Elephas maximus indicus: one gene and its partner. The protein of the gene in region 1 interacts with the protein of each later gene in a biochemical or structural test. Links are inferred from orthologs where the notes say so. Each region holds a gene or a part of one and is shown in the gene's direction. Other genes may lie near its edges.

Region 1 (8,227 bases):
ACTTTGTAAACCACTAAAGATGATGTCTGACACGTTATGGCAGGTACTCAAAACGTGCTGTTTGAATGGACAATGAGTGCAGTGTTAACAAAAGACTGTGGTATGGTGCTAAGATAGCAGGTCTGTGGTTCTTAATTTTACTGAGATGGTGGACCATCTACTTACCTTTCATTAGAAAATAATTCTATTAGGAAGTGGAAGAAAAGAAACAATTTGGTCTCTTTTTTTTTTTTTTTCTTCTCGCACTCCTTTTTTTAATGATTTATATTCTAAATAGGCAATACCCACACATGGTACAAAGTTCAAAAGATCCAAGACAGCAGACAGACACCTCTTCATCTCTGTCCTCCAGCCACTGAGTCCTTTATAGGAATACAGTCACTACTACAGTTCTTAGTCAGTCCTTCCAGAGCCATTTTAGACACACACAGCAAGTAACTGTACATTTATCTATCACTGTTTTGCACCTTGCTTTTTAAATTTAGTATACCTTTGAGAGCCTTCCACATAAATACACTTAAAAAAACCTCTGCTTATTAATAGATACATACTATTCCACTCTATGAATATATCATGATTAAAAAAAAAAAAAAGGCATCTCCTTATGGACATTTAGAAGGTTACTAATATTTTCTACCACATTTGATGCTGCATATGTGAGCGTATTTGTAGGATAAATTTCTAGAAACAGAATTGTAGGATTAGAAGGTAGTGATATATTTCGCCAAAATGCTTTCGATAAACGTTATACCAATTTTCACTTCGCTAGCAACCTATAAGAATGCTTGTTTTTATATATCCTGCCAACAGTGTTTTCTTTCCTGAGGTGCTAAGATGGAGAGTAAAGGAAACCCTTAAAGTAAATGTGGCCTCATCTACTGTTCTACAGGTCTAATCTGTAGATAAGAACTTTCATTTTTGCATCAAGTTAACACAGGTGGTACTGTAGACTTCTTCCCCCTCCTCAGGCAGGCTGGTACTGGGGCACTTATCAGTGGTCATACCCAATATTGTCTTGAATGTTAGAAGGCTTAGTGAGTCTTCGGAATCATTTCTACTTTGCCCTAAAGGGGAAGACACCCAATTCATTCCACAAATACCGAGTACCTACTATGATGCCTAGCATTGCTCTTGTGGCCAAGGCTTGAACACTGAACAAAAGAGATAAAAATCCCTGCCCTCAGTAAGATTACACAATAGCAGAAGACAGTAAACACAATACACAAGTAGGATATATGGTGTGTTAGTTTATAAATTCCATGCGAAAAATAATGGAATAGGTAAGATGTGGAGTACAGGGAGTCACTTTTTTGAAGGGTGGTCAGGGAAGGTCTCACTGAGACAAGGTGACATTTGCAGTAAAGGCAGTGAGGGAATAAGCCATAAGGTGTCTGAGGGACAAACATTTTGGAAAGAGCAAAGGCCTAGAGTTGAGAGTGTGTTCCTGTGTCCCAAGAACAGCAAGAAAGCCACAGGGTCACAGTTCAGTGAGCAAGGGGGAGAAGAGGAGAAGGTGAGGTCAGAGGTCAGGGGCTTTTGGTAGCAGGCCAGATCTTGAAGTACCTCTTAGTGAAATGAGGAAAGCATTGGAACCTTCTGAGCACAGGGCCACTCTGAGTACTCTGTGAGAAGAGGCTATGGGGAGGCAAGAATGGAAGAAAGGGGAGCAGTTTGGAGACTTCCTGAATTCAGGTGAGAATGAGATGGCTTGGACCAGGCTGGTAGCCATGGAGGTGGGAAAGTGCTTGGGTTGTGCCTATATTTTGAACATGGAACCAGCATGATTTTCTGTGAGACTGGAGGTTAGGTGTATGAAAAAAAAAAAAAAAAAAAACACAAGAACATACCAAGCTTCTTGGCTTAAGTATGTGGAAGGATGGAGTTGGCATTTACTGAGATGGGCGAAGACTATAGACTGACCATGTTTTAGAGCAGAGTTTTAGGTTGAAGTTCTGATTAGACTTTACCCTAAGGAATTGTGATTAGACTTACGGTTACCATTATTTTCCAAGGATGCTGAAGCTCTCAGATGGCCATGGTTCCAAAACAGATCAGTGGCCTGGACTAGACCAAAATGGAAATGGCTTCATGAAAGGAAGGCTCCAAGGAATATGTGCCCAAAGGTCATTGTCCTCCTCCTGAGCTATTCTCTTTCAAATCAGACTTACTTTGAGATATTATATTAAATTCTTTTGTATTTTTTCTTCTTCTGTGTTAAATATATAATAACAAAAACCCATTGCTGTCAATTCTGACTCATAGAGACCCTATGTAATCAAAAGATACAGGCAAGTACAACACACACACACACACACACACCCCTAACAACCATGAAAACAGCACAAACAAAAATTTAATTTCCTGCCCATTGATCTAGGAAATAATATTGGAGTCATTATTCCCTATCCTTGAGCATAGAGAATGTGACCCAGCTGCAGCTGGGCCCACAAGGACTCACAAGGACACATCAACTGAACCCTGAGGTATAAAGACAACAGATAATCTTGGAAAAGATCTTCTAGGGAATCTTTCACTTAAGCCAGAACACAAAAGACGTTCCACTCTTATCTTTTTCTATTAGCATTTAGTGAAGAGAAAATTTGTTGGACCAGTGAAGACCTTCCTTACCGTCTTTACTGAAACCTGTACCAATGATTGTTGAGAGGGACAATTCAAAATGTCGGATCATAGTTTCTAGCCAATCTGTAAAAAGGTGAAGCTTTCAATGGTTTTGTCCATTTATAGTGTTAATATATACTAACGACTCTGTAATGTTCTTTGGACTTGGGCAGACATGGCTGTGGTAGTATGCTTGTCCCTTTTCCCACCTTTGTCTGTTCTATATTTCCTTGGTTTGGGGCAGACAGTAGCTCCGGCAGCATGCTTGTCCACTTCCCACTTTTGCCTTTTTGAATATATGCCAAATAAAACTTTCTTTTTACTTTACTCAACTTTATTATGTGTTTTCTCCTATAACACCATTATACAACCAGCAGAACTTGAGCTCCTGCTAGAGGGCTCACTGTCCTCCAGGAATCAAAATTCAATTCTACATTTGCTGGCCAACAATATGTTCCCAGCAAGACACCAGTTCCTGGACAATGGTAGGCTAGGCTAGGCTGGTACAGAAACCATACTAAGGCCAGTCTGAAGTGAGCCTGACTGAGAAACGCAATCAGGAACTCACTGAACAAAATAAAAAATCCAAAAGAAAGGGACGGACTTAAAACAGTGGTCACTAAGGGATCTGACGAAAGGATACCTAAAATGGAATGAGTCTTTCAACAAAAAACATGGAAAGGGGAAGGAAAGCAAAACCAAAATTATGTCATATTAGTGGGGAGGAAGAAAAAAAAAGAACAGAAACTGATATATAGGGACTATTTCAAAAGGCTAGGAAGAGATTGAGGAGGGGATGATCTAAAAAAAAAGAAAAATCGTGTCCTTGAATGGGAAGCAGAATCTATACAAAGCAACAATGAGAGAGCGCAGAGAGCAACATGTATTTATTTTTTTCTACCTAACTCACAAGCCCCAGGGTAGATGAGAATCCAGACTTGTTTTAATGCAAGTGAAGTGGAGGCCCGGCTAGGTGACTCAGAGGTATGACTCAAATCCGACACTGGGGGCTGTCCGTCAGCTCCGGAGGCGGGGACCGCAGTGTCTAACACGTTGTAGGAAAGTACCAGACTCGTGAAAGGAGACAGGAAACCTCCCCGGGAGATCGGCCTGGGGTTCCTCCTGCCCTGTAGTCTGACCTCTTATCCCTCTGCACCGAGAGCAGTTCCTAAACTCCTTGTTTCCTCTTCTTCCCTAAGAGGCCCCATGCCCCCACCCTTTATTGCATGCAGAGTCAAGGAACCTGCAAGTGTGTGCGAGACGTCGGGCCTCCCACCCAGCCGCTCTCCGCCCTGCGCGGCCTGCCACGCGCCCACCTGCCCCGCCTCCGCGGCGAGCCGCTCCCTTCCCACCCCACCTGCGCTCGCCGCCAGCCGCCCGGGCACGCGCGGCACGAACAGCGCCCGGAGCGGCAAAAGACAAACACCTGTCCAGCCTGCGCTCCGCGAGATTTGGGGCTCAAGCATAGGCAACAGAGGGCGCGTTCTCGCGAGGTTTAGGAAATTTCCCACGGCCCGTGTTGTGTCTGAGCGGAGTAGTGGAAGGCGGTGGGAAGGAGGTGTAGCGTGAGACTGAACTGCCTGCATTGGGCACATGCGCACTGCCTCTCGCGTGTGCCGCGCCAATCCTGCAGCGCCTTCAGCAGGTTTCGGCCGGAGGATTCCAGTTCTCCGGGTTTTGGGGTTCCCTGCGGGAGGCAGAGCAGGATCTGGGAATCTCTAGGAAAGGAAAGGGCGAGGGTGGGGTAGGAGGGCGGCAGGGAGGGCGGGCGGGGTCCAGGCCCTGCACCTTTCTATTAAATGCCCAGACCCGCCAAGTTGGCTTAGGGGGAGTCGTCCGGATTTAAACCCCTTGAAGTACGTGTCAGGCAGCGGTGGGGTCTTTGGCTGTGCCAGGCCCCGGGGAGGCCCGGTGCTCTGTGCAGAGTCGGCCCCCTATTGACCTGGGGTCACTCACGGCTGCTGCTCACGCCGACGGCAGCCAGCTTTGAGCCGGCCCTCTGGCCGGGCTGGGTGGTGGCGGCTCTCAATTCCATCATAGTTTTCACTTCTGGAGAAAACTACTCGACATTCTGGCGTGTGCGTGTGAGGTGGATGCCTTTGCCAGAGGCCTTGACCTGGCCTCATTTCGCACCCAAGGAGAAAGAAGCTAAGGCGACAGGGCTCAACTGCAAAAGTTTTCCGTGTGCAGAGCTCTGTAGGGTCGGACCATGTTGTAACGTTCGTCTCCCATTAGTCTGGGTGTCGAATGAATGAAGAAGGTTCCTCGTATGCCACTCGCCCTAAGCCCAGGCGTTTTAGTAGCTCCAGCATCTAACGCTGAGACCAGCATAAAGGAGGCGTCCAATGAACGTTTGAATGAATGAAAGAGGCTGGGAACCCAGAGTGAGCGGGAAGCTACTTGGAAAACACCCATTTGAGGAGGTGTTTCATCTAGGCCTGTGGAACGCGGCAGATTTTCCCAGGACCCCTCCTCCCTTCCCCTTGGCCCCGCCCCCTGACCCCTCCATTCCCCGTCCCAGTTGTAATCCCCTCCAGTTTTCCTCAGTCTCCACGTACGTCCCTCAGGGTGCGTCCCAAAACCCGGATAACCGGAGCGCTCCCCATGGACCACACGGAGGGCTCGCCCGCGGGGCAGCCGCCTGCGCATGCTCCATCGCTTGGGTAGGTTTCCAGGGACGGCAGCAAGCAGGATCCCCTACTCGGCAGGCGGCGCGAGGCGTCTGGCTCTTCGCGGCGGCTGCGAGGGGAAGAAGAGCGAGGGGGCTGGGTGGACTCGAGGAGTGAGGAAAAAGGGAAGGGCGGGGGAGAGGGACCAGGGAAGGCGTCGGGGGGAATCTCGCGAGGGTTGGAGTTTTGGCGAGAGTTTGTGGAAGATGGCGCCTGTTGTGACAGGGTAAGTCTGAGGGAATCTGAGCGCTGGGCACGGGGAAAGTTGCGGCCGTCTCGCAGCCGGCGGCGGGCGGCGGGTTCGGGGGCCGCGGTGCGCTCGGTGTCGGGGGGCAGCGGGGGCGGTGTCGCGTGCGCCGAGCGCGGTGGCGGCGTGTGGCCGTGCGCTGTCCACTCTGCGCCGCCGTGGCTCGGGCTCCAGCGCGAGAGGGCGGGCGGCGGCGACTGGGAGGCCGGCGGGTGCGGGCGTGAGTGCTGCCGAGCGCGCGGGGCCCTCGGGCGCTGTGTCCGCCGCGCGCCGCCCGTGCGGCTGGCGCCGCCCGCGGGCCCTGCCTCCCGGCCCCGCGCAGCTTTGTTCCTCCCGGCCGCCGTCGCCTCCTCGCCCGCCGGGTGCTCCGGTCCCGGGCGCTTTGTCTTTACTCGCTGCCCCCCGCGATTTTCTACCCCCAGCTCTTTGTTTCACCGCCTTGGGCGCTTTGTCTGACCCGTCGCGCCCCGCATCCCTTCTCCCATCTCCTCTCCTCCGCTGCCCTTCCTCTCGTGCCCCTTTGTTTTGCCCCCCTCTGCTCGGCAGCCCAGTGACCTGGCACAGCCCAGGTAGCAAATTTTTGTCTTTTAATTTTTCTTCCATTGTTTTTCTCATTCGTTTCTTCTCCAGCCTTTCTGTTTGGTCCTTGATCACCCCCATAGGCTTTGTCTCCCCCATCCAGTGGCTGCTTTTCTTCGTTCGGCACCCCCCCCTTCGGTCATTTATCCGCTACCCATGGTGTCTGTCTCCTCAACTGTCTCAGTCCCGGGGACTCCATCTGGTGTTTCTACGTGCAAATCCTACGGTTTGTTGTTTTTGTGGATCTGAATGATGCGCGAAGATATTTCGTTTCTTTCTCGGCATCCCTCCTCTCCCCCGCACCCCTTTCTCTTGGGGTTACGGCGTCTCCAGTTTTCTTCGCTGTCCCTCTGGGCCCGTGATTGTTTTGCTTGGAAACAGTAGCCCTGGAAAAAGATAGGGTCTCTTGGTGGTTGTTGCCCCCACCTCTTGGTTTCTGACGGTCTGGGCCAAGGGCAGCTGTCTGTAGCTTTGCATCTGGTTACCTGTGGTTGGGCGAAGGCTATTGTAGTACGTTTAGAGGGAGACATATTATTTGAGACTCGTTTCGGATACCCACATTGTATATTCATTTGGTGTGCGAGTAGGAGTTAGGTGAATTTTGATGTTAAAACTTGTGAATGTTGAGATGGAGAATTTCAGTATTCTTTAGAATCTAGATCTAGAGTCTAGTTATTTTGCCAATAACTCCTTTGTAAGGAAAAGGGAGGCATTCTGCTTGGGAATTGATTTGATACACATATTTTAGTTTTTTTTTTGTTATTGTTGATTATTAGATATAAATTACACTTGTTTGCTTTTGCTCTGTAGATTTGTGACAACTCTCCTGTCCTTTGGGGTTGAAATGAGGAAAACGCTTAAGAGTGCAGTTTCTAGCTGGTGAATAATGCTTCTTCGGTCTTTGTGGACTATGTCAAATCAGATGTGATTAAAAGATACATAAGGAGTAGCCTGAAATAAAGTCACCTTAAAGGCAGTTACATTCACTTCCTAAATACTATTAGATTGTTCTAAATTGTTGTTGTTATGGAGTTGTGTGTGGGGGCGGTGGCATTTTAATGGCCTGAGTTATTCTGGTGTTTGGACTATGAAATGTTAGACTTACCAGGATTACTGCACAGAATATAATGGTTAAGAGTTTCCTCCTCCCCCACTAGTTGGTCAGTACTTTTAGAAGATGTGGTAACCATAAAATCATTTTGAGGCAGTGATTTCATTTGTAAACTAAAGCCCCCGTAAAGTGCTATTGATAGGAGATTTACAAGATCTGATATGCAAATATTGATTGGTACATTAGAAAGCATATTTTTTGTCTGAAGACTTTGATTGGGATTAGTAGTTGAATTAATTAATGGAAAAAGCATAGTTTCATGATTGACACATGAGGTTTTGTGAAAATTTGCGGTTTGGGTTCCATGAGTGGAATTACTACTTGTTTCCCTTATTTGTCCTTAAATAGTGCATCATCAGGCTTTTGAAGGTAAATCTTGAGCACACACTGTTGACTCTGACTGTAAGCAAAATGTAAATATCATGTAATAATGTAAGGCATTTGCCTTGATTTCTACACGTGAGAATGATCACGCAAACATCTTATAAAGTTTTTTCAATTAAGACTTGTGTATTCTGTTTCTAAATCGTATACTGTTTCTTGATGTAAGACCTTTATCTCATGACCAAAATAAGAAGTGCCTTTATTAAATTATATCCGGAATAGCACATTTAGAAGTATACAGGTTGAATAGTGGTTGGGAAAGTTATATTCTGAGTATTGATTGTTAAATTTTTTAACTTATTGTTCATGCATATTGCAGATAAGTCTGCGGGGAATATATTTCGGGGAAAAATATAAGCAGTTCACTTGCAGTATTTTCAGAACATTCAGATGTGCGCTTTTAGGCATTTGAATTTAAGCAGTTGCGTTTGTTACAAAGTTACCTGTTGCTCTGTATCAGTCTATTATTGTCTTTTAAGCGGCTAAGATTAAAAAAAAAATGGTTTGAGTAAAAAGCCACTCCTGCCAGATGTAACTCGTTAAATAATCTTTCTAACCCTGAATGGGTAGGATATTAGAAAAAAATTTTGTTTGAGAGTTTTTAAACCCCAAACCCAG
Region 2 (7,461 bases), on another chromosome or scaffold:
CTTTTGCAATAGAAAAGGTCAGGGGAAAAAAAAAAAGCAAGGACTTGCATACTTGACATGTAATCACTGAGTACTGATTTGACTACAGAACCTGGCTGTAATAATGAAAATATTATGCATTTGATAATGTGTTTTTACTTCCACTGATGCTTACTTTTGCTATTATTGTGAAATTAACTGTCAACTTAATGGTAGTCATAATCATATGATATGTTAATTTCAAACACATGTAACATCTGATACTTTTAGCAAACTTATTAGGTAGAGAAAACAGGTATTTTTATCCTCATTTTGCAGATAAGGAAACTTTGAGGATTTGTCTTGCTTATTCAAAAAAAAAAAAAAAAGCAAAACCTGTTGTCTGGTTGATTTCTTCTCATAGCAACCCTATAGGACAGGGCAGACTGCCCCATACGGTTTCCAAGGAGCAGCTGATGGTGGATTTGAACTGTGGTTAGCAGCCAAGTTCTTAACCACTATACCACCAGGGCTCCAAAACAAAACCCACTGCTGTTGAGCCAATTCCAATTTGTAGCGACCCTATAGGATATAGGCCACATAGCCAGTGACAAAATTGCAACTGGAATTTTTGACTCTTAACCTCACCGTTCCTTCCATTACGCTATGATATCTCTTATTACACTGTTAGTGGTTTTCAGAATCTCCTGAACTTTAAGGTGTTTGTTGTCATGAAAGAATCTTTTATAGAAATGGATAGAATTCCCAGTGGAATTGCTTATTTTAACCTGGTGTATGTAGCTATTTTCCCTTCAAATAAATTTGCAGAAGTGAAATTACAGTAACATTTTTGGTGTCAGAGGATCACATTAAAATTTGAATACAAAGTATTTGTTTTACTCATTGAATAATCTGCATGTCTATTTAGGCTGATACCTGTTGGGATTTTATAAACTGAGAATTCTCTTTTGAGAAGTATATGTCAGATTAAAAAAAAAACAACACTATAATGGATATTTCTGTCATTATTTTTGGCACCCGTATTTCTGAAAAATGTATCTTGATTAAACTAACACTTCAAGTCAGAAGTAAGGCCTGACCTGCTTCTGAAAGGTCACAGCCTTGAAAACCTTATGGACCAGTTCTGCTCTGCAGATGTGGGGTCCCCATGAATCGGAATCCCCTCTGTGGCAACTAACGACGACACTTCAAGAGAATTTGAGTATGAGGTTCTACAAATGATGTTTAATGGGAGAAACTACTTGCCTTTAAATTGCTAAACAGACAGTTTATACTTTTTTTTTTTTTTGATAGACCTCTGGTAAAATGAAAAATGGTATCTTAATTTGCTTCAGGTCTTCTTGACATTCTGTGATCTCTAAGGGTTCCTGGAAAGCTTTAGCGCAACTTTGCTTAACAATTTTTTAGTAATGGTATACCACAATTTCCCTTCCACTCCCTCTGCTCTTCTCTAAAAGGTTGGGGGGCTTCAAAGTGTATGTAAAGAACGTTGCCCATTTCAAATTACCTTATCAAAATTAAGTATCTACTCTGCTTTTTACCTGGGGAAACAGCACTGCTGTAGCAAGACCCTTAGCCTAATCTAGGAGAACTACATTTGTTTTTGTATTTATTTGGTAAACATGTTACTTTTTACTTAAATTTAACTCTCCCTAATTCTTATGCTCTGGAGAAAGTATTATAAATACATATTAATTGCCTCTTATTTTGTTCTAGTTTATCCTTTTATTGCTCTGTGGCAGTCAAAGATGGATACAAAATACCATACTAAGTCATTACTTTAGCCTCTCTTCTAATGATTTTGCTTCTAAAAGACTTTTACATTTTTTTTTTTTTGGGCCCTTGAATTTTTCTTCAGCATGATTTTAACCGAAGGCTGCATCCAAGGTGAGATACGCCCTTTATTTCTGTAGTTGCAAAATACTGTTTTCTCAATCCTCTTCTTTGTCTGTTGCCTCTTTTATATGCAGTTGAGCTGGGCCTCCTCTGGTCTTCAGGGTGACATTTTTGGTCTTTCCTAAAAGTTTTCAGTTAATTCAGAGCCTATCAGGTTTTAGATGAGCAATTTATATCTTATTTTCAAACGTGCCTCAAACCGTAGTGGCTTATATTGAATTTATGCTTCATGGGAAAATGCATGTCAGTTTGAGGCTCACTAACTAAAGCTACATAATCACTGTTATAGTTCATGAGTTTAGGTAATATTGTGCTGATGTTGTACTATTTATGTGACAGCAGTTATGACAGAAATGGCCAAATGTAAATGGCCAATCCTACATCTTAATGTAGCTTGATTTGTTTTTCCTTTTTAACTGAAGAATCAATTCCATATTTTCAAGAATAAAAATTTCCATTTCATTTAGTGACTCTTTGATATGCATGAGGACAAGATCAACCTCTAACCTGGCACTAAATACCTTAACTAAATTATGAATATGTGCCACTATTGTGGTGGCACATATTTTAGATCTTCTCCTTTTGTTCCTGCCCTTATTAAAGTTCCCAAAATAGTCAGGAAAAAAAAAAGTGTTGAAATAGAAAATGAAAACATAAATCAGGAAAATAACATAGAAAATAAACCAGTTGAATTATCTAGCCCAGAATCTGAATGTTTTTAAAAGTAACTAATTAAATTTCCAAAATCAGTTCCATGGAAAAATGTCAACCAAGATGGCAAGGTTTGCTTCTGTACAGGCAGTCCCTGGGTTACGAAAGTGTGACTTATGCCTTACAGACAACTCGTACTTCGGAATGGACTGTCATACAGCCTATTATATTAAAAATTTGAGTTAAATACATACAAAGGTTTGTAATAAGGAATGCATACAATACTTTGCGACACTCATGAAAACATTGCACAGTTTGGAAGTGTTTACGTGTAAAATACAGATCTATATGCTAAGACAAATACTTGGCTGACACTAAATAAGAATTGTACGTACCTGTTCTGACTTATTTACAAATTTGACTTAGGAACAGATCTCATTGGTAACCCGGGACTGCCTATCCTGTAACAGCTGTAACTGTGTAATGTGAGGGCTTACTTAGCCTTCTGAAAGTCCTGAGAAAGGAGAGAAGACAGCTTTCTCAGTTCATCAGATCTAAGATCAAGTTTATTAAGTACAGCATGGACTAGTAAAGAAAATACAGGAAAGGTTGATGTGACTCTGAGGTAGTTCTCTGCTCTGTCTCTGTGACTCAGTCTTTAACAAACTTACGTTAGACTATAAGGCAAACGAAAGGCTCAGGGCTTTAGCTTTTGTGGAACAAAATATAAGATGACTTGGACAGGTGACCTCACCTATTGGTGCTGAATCATCATTGGTTATGGTGACCGTATCTGTCACTTAAAAGTAGTGTAGTTTGATGATCAATTGGCTTCTATTTAAGTGGACAGTGAGTGGCACCATAGAGTGAAGATCTGGCCTGTGCCTGAAGCACTGTTGTTGAGTGCTGTGGAGTCTGCTCCCACGGATCGCCACCCCATGTACAACAGAAGGAAGCACTACCCCTCTGATAAATCTGTGGATTAAATGGGGGAAAACTGAGTTGCTGTTTTAAACAATTCACATTTTCTGGATTCAGTTGAATACAGTTGGCTGAATTTTGTGGGTTTTACCTAGGTTTCTGTAAGCTGTTCAATTTCAGGTTTCAAAAGTCCTCAGACCTGGGAAAGTCAGAGGTCTACGTACTATCTCAGTGAGACATCTGAGAACAATTAGACATCTAACTGTCCCATTTCATTTCCACTCCTGGTATACCCTAACGATCAGCAAGGGTATCTTGCAAAAGGTTTCGCAAGATGCTATGTAAAATAGAGTTGTTTAACGTTACAAGCTAATGATTCCTGGGAGGGGTGGGTTTTTGAAGCCATCACTGCTTGGCTGGGCGGTGGGAAGGACGGCCTGTTCTGACCACTTTCCCAAGCAGGCGGGGATCCAAGTGCCCGGAAACGGCCATGAGCTGCCCGGAGGGTGAGCAGAGGAAGGGGTTTTGGCATCTCCTAGGACGGAGGCCTTCGCTGCCCCTTGGACACGAAGCCTTGTCAAAACCAACTCCATTTCTCTCTTCTCTTCCCCCAGGCCGGCGCCAAGGACCCCCGCGCGGGAGGCTGGAAGCCGTTCCTGCCTCCCCGCGCCGGGGGCCTGACGGCGCGCCCGCCCCGCGCGGCTGCGCACCGGGACCGAGCGCGAGCGTCCCTCCCCCGCCCCGCGTCCCGCCATCCCCCGCCCTGCCCGTGCGCCTGCGCGTCGGCTGCGAGGGACGCGGGGCCTCGGCCTCGGCGGACGGACGCGCGCGCGCCCGCGGCGAGGGGGCGGCGGCCAGGCGACGGGAGGCGGGCCGCGCGCGCGCCGGTGGGAAGCGTCCGGCTGCCACAGCGCCAGCTCCGTCGTAGTCGCTGCCGCCCGGGTCCCGCTCGCCCCTCCTCCCCGCTCCCCCCGCCTGCCGCCGCCCGGGCGCATGCGCTGCCGGAGCGCGAGGGTCGGCTTCGGGTGTGTGGTGGCGGCAGAGCGGCGCTGCGAGGCCCGAGAGTCAGAACCTGGGGGAGAGGGATGGTCTCTGCACGGGGGGGAGCCGGAGGAGCCGCCGCCGCTGCCGACGCCACCGCCGCAGCCGCCGCCGCCGCCGCTGCGCCCGCCTCCCGGCGCTGAAGGGCTCGTACCAAGCCGGCGAGGGAGAAGCAGCAGCGGCGGTCGCCGGCACGCCGCCCAGCATGGTCCGGGAAACCAGGCACCTCTGGGTGGGCAACTTACCGGAGAACGTGCGGGAAGAGAAGATCATCGAGCATTTCAAACGGTGAGTGACACGAGGCCCGGGCCGCGCTCTCTCCCCGGCCGCGGCGCTGGCCCGTTGTTGGCTCTCCCCGTGCTCGGAACTGGGGAGGAGGACCCCGTCCCGGACTCCCGGACGGGTGCGGGGGGCGCGCGGGCTGCCGCGCCGGCCGCTCGGCCAGGTCCCGGCGTTGGGCCTCGGCGGAGCGGGGCCGCGGGGCCCAGCTGCCACCCTCTCCCTTCCGAATAAGGAGACTGTCGCTTGGCCTCCGCGAAGCAGGCGCCCGAGGGTTCCCCTGGCGTTGGCAAGGAAGCGGGTCAGTGCCGCGCTCTGGTGGCGCTCCCCGGCGGGGTCGCGTCCTTGCGCGCCGGCTGCCCCGGCGAGCCGCTCTCAGGTCTTTGGGACGCGCCTCCCGGCGCCCCCGGTCCGAGCAGCCACCCGCATCCGCCCGGCGAAGGCGGCCGAACCGGGAACCGAGCAGCGGCTGACAGGCTGCGGCCGGCCCGGGACCCGGACCTGTCCCAGACCCGCCCCCTGCCCCTCCGGCCCCGGCACCGCAGACTCCCGACTCTCGTAGCAACTCCCGCTCCGCGCACAAGGGCGCATGGAAATGTCTGACTTAGAGTGGGTTTTGTGCGAAAGAAGAGGTACAAAAACAAAAGTCTTGGTAGGTAACGTAGGAACATCTCTGATTTGGGAAGACACTGCTAGATTCTAGGGATCTCTCACACCGAAGAGTTACAGACCTGGGAACGAAATGAAAATGGCAAATTCCTTTTTGTCTTTTTTTTCTTGTTTTTGCGGGATTGGGTGGAGAATGAGGTCTGCAAATAAGTTTGTGCCCCAGTTTTGGCTCTTTCGCCTTTCTTCCTCCAGCCCCCTCGGGTGCCCATCAGGAGGATGGTGGGAACAGAGCCTCAAATAGGAAGGTACCCACCTCAAATAGGCGCTGTGAAGCCCAGAGGAAGCTCCGGGACCTACTACTGCGGCCGTGCTGGCATTATCGTGCATATCCTTCTTAAAAATAATGGTATTTTCCCCCACCCATAATTTATCAAATGGTTTAAAAATGCAAGTGTTTTAAGATTAATGTTTTTTTTTTAATCTACGCGAATTATTTGTCCATGAAATGTAAAAGGTCTTTGATACATCTTTTTTATTTAGTAGCACTTTTTTTTTTGGTTTTTTTTTTTGTAGCACTTAGCACTTGTTTTCTTTGTGAAATGTATGTGTACCACAACTGGTAAGAGGTCTCAAAATAAAATAATTAAAATAGCGATTTATTTAGACTTGGAGCAGATTGAGAAGGACCGTACAAATCTTTATGATCATTCTCAGAAATTAGCTTTTTTCGTATTCATGACCCTGAAAGGTATTAAGTTTGGTGTACTCCTAATTCCTCTTACTATTTAGGTGAGTGAGGGAAATTATGGAGCGTCCTTATTAGTGAGTCACCATGGGAAAAATAGATTGCGTCGCTCGCTGTTGAGCTGCGTGGATAAGGAAATAGGAGCAGCGGCAGCAGAGCCCCTGTTTTTCAAATGGAGGATCATTGATTCTGTTGGTGGTTGCTGTTCCTGGGGTATTAAATTTTCACGTCTGGAGCGCGCGTCTGCGCGTGTCCGCGTGTGAAAAGGAGCCGGGAATAGTGAGACCATTCATAACCTGCTAAAACTGTCCTCAGCAGGGCTGGGGGAGGTGCGCTTCCAGGGACTCTCCCAGTGTTTACTACGTTGTGCCTGAGAGACCAGGCAAAAACTCGCCTTTGCCCGCGATGATAAAGGGGAGTCGTTGAGCTGAATTGGGAAGCAGATGAGAACTTTCTCTTCCTGGCGTTGCTCCACCCCTTTTTCCCTCCTATCCCTCGTCCTCAGTGTTTTGGTGGAAAAATCATTTAGGTGCAGATTTTTGGAGGAGATAAACCGCTTAGATGCGCTGACTTTTATCTCCTTGTGGACTCTATCTGTAGGTTGCTGGATGGAAAATTCGTACGCACCGACGCGCAAACACGTGCATTGCAGCATTCTCTTTGCTCCGTGTTCTGTGGCCAGACGTGTCGTTTTGCATTATGCAGATTCCAGAGACATGGCATGCATTGCATTGCATTGCATCGCTTGTCTAGGGGAGTTTGACCCTTCTGCAAATTGAGGGGGAGAGATAGGAAAGAGGAAATTGCCCAAGGGAGTTTTGGAAGGCTTCTAAGTGGATGGTGCTGCAGTCTGTCTTGTGTGAATGACTTTCTAAAATGGCGGCTAGGACCCACTTTATGTGGGAATCAGCAGAGCAGATCTCAGAATGCACAGAGGGAGGAGGGGACGGAGGATGCGCGCAGGCTGCCTTGGAAAGCGGCAGTCTGGAGGACCAGTACTGTATTACAGAGGGCTTAGCTGGCACATTGCTCACGGCTGCACTGAAAGGAGTGCCTTACCTGTTAACAGAGCAAAGGCAGGTGATTCCTATAAAAGCAGGTTATTTTAAAATGTAGCAGACTGTGTTTCCCTGAAACGTCTTTATTTTAAAGGCGATTCTTCATGTTTAAACATGTATTCTGTTATTTGACTAGAGCGTTAAAAAGTATACAGAGAAAAATCTCCCCACCACCCCTGACCTTTGGTCTCCCGGTACCCATTCCCCCTCCCCATCAGGTATCTGTTTCTGGTTTCTTGTTTATCCTTAAAAAGAGTTTTTCCACATGTACAAGAAATGTCC

Evidence for each region.
Region 2: the proteins of RBPJ (region 1) and SPEN form a complex in vitro, tested with the Homo sapiens proteins (2 studies listed by BioGRID and IntAct). The link is inferred for Elephas maximus indicus from reciprocal best matches to the Homo sapiens genes RBPJ and SPEN.

The regions. Positions count from the first base shown.
Region 1 is NC_064823.1:136,632,521-136,640,747, reverse strand, and holds the start of RBPJ (recombining binding protein suppressor of hairless), read left to right. Parts: upstream 1-5,175; 5' UTR 5,176-5,223; coding exon 5,224-5,282; intron 5,283-5,442; exon of another isoform or gene 5,443-5,494; coding exon of another isoform or gene 5,495-5,514; intron 5,515-8,227. UniProt on the Homo sapiens protein: Transcriptional regulator that plays a central role in Notch signaling, a signaling pathway involved in cell-cell communication that regulates a broad spectrum of cell-fate determinations.
Region 2 is NC_064821.1:55,571,593-55,579,053, forward strand, and holds the start of SPEN (msx2-interacting protein), read left to right. Parts: upstream 1-4,384; 5' UTR 4,385-4,693; coding exon 4,694-4,776; intron 4,777-7,461. UniProt on the Homo sapiens protein: May serve as a nuclear matrix platform that organizes and integrates transcriptional responses. In osteoblasts, supports transcription activation: synergizes with RUNX2 to enhance FGFR2-mediated activation of the osteocalcin FGF-responsive element (OCFRE).